Drosophila melanogaster: one gene and its partner. The protein of the gene in region 2 purifies or fractionates together with the protein of the main gene of each other region. This does not show direct contact. Each region holds a gene or a part of one and is shown on either strand. Other genes may lie near its edges.

Region 1 (3,753 bases), 2.8 Mb from region 2:
TTGGCCGGTGACAGCTTGGGGAAGCACAACTCCGCCAGATCGTGGTAATAGTCCATTGTAAGAGCACCTGGTTCTGTTGGGGATTTCGAACCGTTGCCACTGGCTGCTCCTGTGGACAGAAAGTGGTGCTGCAAATCCACGACGGTACTAAGAACGCCACCAGACATGTCCTCGAACCAGAGGAAGTACGAGTAATGGAATGCCTTATCCTTCCACATCACTGTGGTCTGGCCCTTCTTAAGGTAATTTCTCGCGATCTCCACCATGCTCCAGAGTTTTGTCTTTGGCACCAGCTGGTTCGGTCGCAGATCCGGAGCAAGCATTTGTCCTCGGCTGCGATTGACGTACATAAAGTGCACCAGACCCGGAAAATCCTCCAAATAAGCATCAATGGATATGTTACGAGTGGCCTTAACGGCCAGAAATTCAGCGAACTCCAGTAGCTTGGCTTCCACATTCGCTGCCGTATCAGAGAGTTGATCCAGCTCATGGACACTTGAGCTGTCGCAGCAGGCCAGTGTGAATATCTGCTTCAGTTCCTCTCCGAACGAGGGCAAATTCGACTCAATCCTCACGAGCAGCTCCCGCTCAAAGTTCTTGAAGTACTCAGTGTACATCTTGCGAAGATTCTCCCATTTAGCGGCGAACTTCTTCGTGCAGTTCTCTAGGTCATCGGTTTCCGATCGCTGTTTCAGATATCGCTTCAAAGCGGTCAAGGCCTGCACAATAAACGATTCGAGGTTCTCGAAGGCGGGCTTCAGGGCATCCGAATCGCCCTGATGCTGAACAGCCACGATTTTTTGAAGCACAAAGAAGGAATCGTAGATGCAGCTGGTCAGTGGCATGTGGGCGTACTCGATGACCTGCAGGAGAACTTGGTTACCATGGAGACGCGAGATGTGCACGATACTGGGAACGCAGCCAGAGTTCACATCATAGGAGACACCCTGCAGGAATACAGCTACTGCTCGCTGGGAAGGGGACTTTGGCGCTTGCAGGGCGCGTGACATGAGGCTGAGGAAGAGTAGGTCGGCGGCAGCAAGCGGCAGAGCTTGCCGAGTGCTGTTCGCGGCCACCAGCTTGTTGGAAACGAGCAACAGGGCGTGGGCTCGGGGCAGTCCGAGCTGGCGCAAGTGCTCAAGCGTGGCGTCCAGCGTCAGATGCACTGTCCTCTTTAGTTCCGTGTTGATCAGCAGCCTGGGCATGGCCTCCAGCAGGTACGTCTGATCCTCCTCCCACAACAAAGTCTCATAGCAGTCGAGGCACTGCGTCAGCAACTCCTGTTGCATGGCCCCCGCCTGGGCGGCAAACAAATTGGCGCCGTAACAATAGCGCGTCAGCGTAATGGCCACACCCATTTGGCGACCCAGCAGCTCCACGGGTATTTGTCCGATCTTCAGAAAGGTGAAGCCAAGAAGTTCGCCGAACACCAAATTGAAGCCTTGCTCACACTGCAGGCTGGAGTAGGCATTATCGAACTGGCACTGCATTATTCGCTGAGATCCAACGATGGGGCTGAAAATCTGCAGCAGTATGTTGCTGTCCAGGGAGCCGCCGGACTGGAGCAGGCCCTGGGTGGTGGCCACACTCCGGATCTTCTGCGCCAGCGGCTCGTTAAGCTTCTGGTATACAACATCGTTGGCGCTGTTAAACACAATCAGTCCGTTCATTTTCTTATCAGCATTGGCAAAACACCAAATACACAACAAAACTTTCACCAGTGTCACTGGTGCTGGGTAACGGAATTCGGTGTGTGTTCTGATAAGAAAAGGTGAAGACTTCAAGTCAGCATTTAACAACACTAGAGCGATTCAGCTCTGAGCAATTCAACGCTTTTCAAGCCAGAATTATATATTAAAAGCCTAGTATACGTTCGACTTTTTTTATCCGAATTGCCAATTGAAATTGCTTTTAGTTGAGTTACTAAGTATTGAACTGTAATAAGTTTCCTGATCAAATTAATTTATAATTTATAATATATGAATTTTCAAATTTATTGCATTTTTTTATTATTGCAAAGCAATATCGCTTTGCTTAGATATGAAGAACACAATTTTAAAATTTAATTTTATCCCGATTTACAAATTAAGCTAGATGAACGACTTCTGCCGACGTTTGACCACACTGACGACAGCTGACTTTCTTCTTCTTGCGACATGCGCTTATGTTATCATTATTTGGACAGACAGTGATTTGTCCACTAATACAGCACTTGACCATCAATGGGACGTTTAATTCTGGAACACACGCTGCAGGGCCACAAGGGGCGCATCTGGGGAGTGGCATGGCATCCTAAGGGCAACGTATTCGCCTCGTGCGGCGAGGACAAAGCCATCCGCATTTGGTCGCTGACCGGGAACACTTGGAGCACAAAGACCATCCTATCCGATGGCCACAAGCGCACTATTCGCGAGATCCGATGGTCTCCATGCGGTCAGTACTTGGCCTCGGCCAGCTTTGATGCCACCACGGCGATCTGGTCGAAATCCTCGGGAGAATTCGAATGCAACGCAACATTGGAGGGTCACGAAAACGAGGTGAAGAGCGTTAGCTGGTCGCGATCCGGCGGACTACTGGCCACCTGTTCGCGGGACAAGTCCGTGTGGATCTGGGAGGTTGCCGGCGATGATGAGTTCGAGTGCGCCGCCGTTTTGAACCCGCACACACAGGACGTGAAGAGAGTGGTGTGGCATCCAACCAAGGACATTTTGGCCTCCGCCTCGTACGACAATACCATAAAAATGTTCGCAGAGGAGCCCATAGACAACGACTGGGATTGCACAGCCACTCTTACTTCACACACAAGCACGGTTTGGGGCATTGACTTCGATGCTGATGGCGAGCGCCTGGTTTCCTGTAGCGATGACACCACAATAAAGATTTGGAGGGCCTACCATCCCGGAAATACAGCCGGAGTGGCTACGCCCGACCAGCAAACCGTGTGGAAGTGCGTGTGCACAGTGTCCGGGCAGCACTCGCGGGCTATCTACGACGTGTCCTGGTGCAAGCTTACAGGTCTGATAGCGACTGCCTGTGGCGACGACGGCATTCGTATCTTTAAGGAGAGCAGCGACTCCAAGCCAGACGAACCCACGTTCGAGCAGATAACCGCGGAGGAAGGCGCTCACGATCAGGACGTAAACTCGGTGCAGTGGAATCCTGTGGTGGCCGGGCAACTGATATCATGCAGCGATGATGGCACCATTAAAATTTGGAAAGTGACCGAGTAACATAAGGATTATTGTTTGATATATTTAAGTGGGTAATTCTGGAACTTAATTTTTGTACAGTGTCTGCGTAATAAAAAATTAAAGTATTCAAATGATGGATGAAGTGTGTCATACACGATTATGGGATGCATTACACCTAATATGGATTGCTATTTGCTGAGGAACGGTTCCTGCAACGTTTTGTACAGCTTCTTGGCCTTCCGGGGACCCAGTCCCATCACCTGGGAGAGTCGCTCCTCGCTGGCATTGATTATGTTGCCCAGGTTGCCAAAGGTGTGCAGCAAGGCGGCAGCATCAGTCTTGTTCACCGGCTTGATGTTGGTGAGAGCAGCGAGTAGCTATGGACATTGGGATATTGCATTACAGTGGCGATACTGGCAATGTAAACATGCGTACCTTCTGGTGTGGATTAGACTCCACTCGCTCCATGATCAAATCTGGCGGACGCTTCTCGAACTGTTTGTACGTCTCAATGATTTTGCCCGCCTCCTCAGCGTTCCAGGCCAACATCATTGTCAGGTCG
Region 2 (3,753 bases):
TGGCGCGAAGTGCATCCTGCAGGTCTGCAGATGATTTGCGTCGTGTGAGCTGTTTGTTTGGATTGCTAATGAAGTTTTGAAAGAATTTCTCCACATCCACTTTTAGAGAATTTCGACGCGAATGTGTCTTGCCATTGGAATTGTGAATATCCTCCTCTTTGCCCTCATCTTCGGGATTTGCGCAAATGGACATAACATTGGCCACCGGCAGTACCTTGTTCTCGGTCATTGGAGTATTGCAAACGCTGGTTCGTCCAATGAACTGCGGATAGGAATCGGTTTCGTCGAAATTTATTGATGCAATGCCAGACTCCGGTAGCTCTTTGCTCTGCATGCTTTTTATACGCAACGGCAGGTGGGTGGGTCGCATAGATTTGGGCCTGGCTGGTGGTAGCTGTTCAACTGCTCCCTGCTGCTCCGGGGCGTGCTCCTCCTCGGGTATATGGGTAAAAATGAGCGACTTGTCCCGCTTTATCTTACGCTTGGCATACTGAAACGGCATACCATTTTGGGTGAGCTGAGCTGTGTTCATCTGCAGGTTCTGGGCGCGCTGTGCCTCGCCAGCTAACTGGCGGTACTGCATATGCTCCAAATAAACCACCAGCATCTGAACGCCGTTGGGTATGTGGAACTCAGGATGGTTGGTCACTTGCTCGGCCGCAGTGCGGATGTGCAGAGGATCGGTGAGTACAAGATGCTTGGTCACCATATCGCTCAGTTGCGAGGCAACCACCCTAAAAGACAAGGTATTTGAATTTACAATTTGTTCAGACTTTAGCCGGATTAACTGACTTGTTGTGGTACAGAATCGCTCCGCCAAGTATTCCCTTTGTCTGCTGGCAACTTTGCAACGTTTGTATAGCCTCCAGGAATATATGACTGGCCGTCTGGAAGAGAATCTTGGTTATCTAGGTAATTCGGTTTGTTACTTTAACCACTCACCTTTGGCATTCGCAGCCTCGGCACATTTTGAAATGTATTTCCGTTGCGCTGCAGCATCGGCAGATATGTTTCAAAGATGTGGTACAGTTTCTCGCTGAGATTCCGGCGGTTCAGGGCGGGCGGTGCAGCATACTGGGCATACAATGTCTGGACGTCACGGTGGAAAAACTTGAGCAGGGAACTCAGCAGATCAGCACGATGTTCCAACAGTTGATCTCCAATATTTCGATCAGTGCCAATTGCCTGGAAAACAGAATACTCCATCGGATTAATAAAAGAAAAGTGAAATTATGTGATTCGATTTACCAGAATAAAACGACCGAATTCCTTCAGCACAAATTTTCCATTCTGCAGCGCCAGGATGCGGGGATTAAAGAAGCAATCCTTGAGGAAATACGACGTGCCCATAAGCTGACCACACAGAGCCACCTTCTGGGAGTCGGACACCCAGCTTGGATGGAAGTAGAGCACCGCCGATATGGGATCATCCGCCTCGTCTGTGAGACACTCTGTGTCGTAGACAAACACAATCATCGTCTCCCTGTAAATTTAATAAAGTTCAAGGGTTATTGTTATTGAGACTTTGAGACGGGGAAATATATTTTAGCTTAGTTTCTAATGTTAAGGAAAAGCTTTGGAGAAATTACGTTCAACTATTTTCCCTTGTAAAATGTGAGCTGAATCTTAAAACTTGTTCAAGAATTGATACAACAAGTGCTGTAGCAAAACCGGTATGCAAAAAAAACTTTACACAAATACAAATTGGATTTATGCAATCTCAATTTGTTTGACGTTGTTTAATGCAATTCATTGTAGATATTTGTGCACTGGAAACACAGTTTGAGTATGAAATGAGCAACCTTTCGGTGAGGATTGAGGTCTGCTGCTTCTGCTGCACCTTCTGCCATCGCTTGTGCTTGGTTTTGCGCCAATCCCGAAACATTGCTCCTGAAATCTAGTGGATTTCGGTGCTTCCAAGTCTAGCGCTGCATCGTGGCTCCTTATCACATTTAACGACCGACGATTCTGATAAGTCAACAAGCCAATAGCGCCGTACAATGCCAACTGTCTGATTTCGATGTGGCCCAGCTGCCTGATACGACCAACTGTGATACGAGAGCGTGATCAGAATTCCGCTCACGCCCAAGTGAACCAGCAGGTGAGAAGTGAGGTGAAAGCTTCCGAGTGTTTCCATCATTGCGGTTGAGCGGGTGGGTATACGAGCAACTATGCTCTCGTATAATGTATTCATCCATGTGGTGACCACTTCAATGACGAAGGTATCGATTCCAGTTTTAGAGTGTAACAAATTCGATTACCAATGCTATATTTTATAAAAAGCTCTCGGAGGCAAATGATTTTCAAATATCATTAATAAGATTTTATATATGTTTAACAACAGAGACCTTGTCTGTTTTATTGCGCGTAATACAATGTTTATTTAAACTATCATAACAACTCTATCCAGCAGCTGTTTTCAACACATTGGGTGGCAACTGTTGAATCTGGTTCACAGTATCCGATTGGCTAGATATGCTATACTTGGCCACATATCCATCGGGACCAGCTTTGTAGGTGACCAGCAGGTATTTCGAACCAGGAAAACGCTGGCTATAAGTACCCTTAACTTGAAGCACATCTGGCGCAATCTGTTCAACAATCTCATCCCGCGTTGAACCGTCGAGATCAATCCTACAATATGGAAGCCATTTGGTTGAGCTTACAGCATTATCTTAACTTCATTTTTTGTTTACCTCAGGGAATAATTATTCTCAGATGGCACTAGCACAACTCCATTATCGTTTATGGGCGGCACGAATTTGGTAACTGAAGTTGTGGGCGCCGAATTCACCAGACTTAGAAACAGAATCAAAAACACCTGTAGCAAATATTATACAACGATTGGCAGGCAAACTTATGAGAAAAACTCACTGAGCTTAACAATAGGTTAGCCATGATGATCTTTTGGCTTTTGGTTAGCGACTGATGTTTTTAGATAGCTGACAGCAAACAGCTAACAAATAAACAGCTAAACTTAAACCAAGTTCAAAACTGGAATCATTAATAAACACATTCAAAAATCGTTCTCCGCTTATAGTATAGCTATAAGATGTGATTTTTGAATACTGTCAACAGGGATTTACATAACATAACAATAAAACTTGCCACAGTGAATCATTGACCGAGTCACCTAATAAGTTGCTTTAATAGGGCTTAGCCAATTAACAATAATAAGTATAACAATTTGTTATAGTTAAGAAAGTCTAGCTAGTTTATTGATTTCTATAAACTAGTGAGTGATTATAAACTTACTTATTGTTACTTATAAATACAGAATTGGTTTAATATAAATTACGGCAAGTTGTGGTTTTAATGTTTTCTAAATATTCAGTCAAAATCCTATCCCGCTGCAGTTTTCAGAGCACCGGGACTGAGGAATAATGGTGTGTCAGGAGGCGGTGTTGGAGGACCCTTGCCGAAGCTGTATTTGGCAACATATCCATTCGGACCAGCCTCATAGGTGACAATAAGATTGGCATCCTGATCCTCGAAGGGCTGGTTAATCACACCTTTAACCTGCAGATGTCCGGCTTCATTCTGGCTCACGGATTCCTGGCGAATAGTGCCACCCGGATGTTCGATTCTACAGATTCAGAACTAACTAAGTAAAGGGAAGCTCTCTTCTGGACTTTGATTAGCTACCTGAGAAAGTATTCTTGATTGAGGGGCTCAAGTTGAAAGCCATTTGTGCGGATTTGCGGAACGATAGTTGGTGAAATTTGCGGTGCCGCGTTGACCGCAGTGAAGATG

Evidence for each region. Proteins that work in one complex are often made in the same cells at the same time.
Region 1: the proteins of HPS4 (region 2) and HPS1 purify together in Drosophila melanogaster (affinity purification with western blotting; one study listed by BioGRID). This does not show direct contact.

Annotation. Positions count from the first base shown.
Region 1 is NT_033778.4:14,853,429-14,857,181, reverse strand, and holds the start of HPS1 (Hermansky-Pudlak syndrome 1), read right to left. Parts: upstream 1,754-3,753; 5' UTR 1,671-1,753; coding exon 1-1,670. Other genes in the region: Ciao1, read left to right, coding at 2,223-3,230; Ercc1, read right to left, coding at 3,380-3,568, 3,627-3,753.
Region 2 is NT_033778.4:17,684,988-17,688,740, reverse strand, and holds the start of HPS4 (Hermansky-Pudlak syndrome 4), read right to left. Parts: upstream 2,051-3,753; 5' UTR 1,886-2,050; coding exon 1,803-1,885; intron 1,484-1,802; coding exon 1,249-1,483; intron 1,186-1,248; coding exon 943-1,185; intron 888-942; coding exon 793-887; intron 735-792; coding exon 1-734. Other genes in the region: CG42562 (uncharacterized protein), read right to left, coding at 2,403-2,634, 2,697-2,821, 2,875-2,898; CG42561 (uncharacterized protein), read right to left, coding at 3,343-3,586, 3,646-3,753.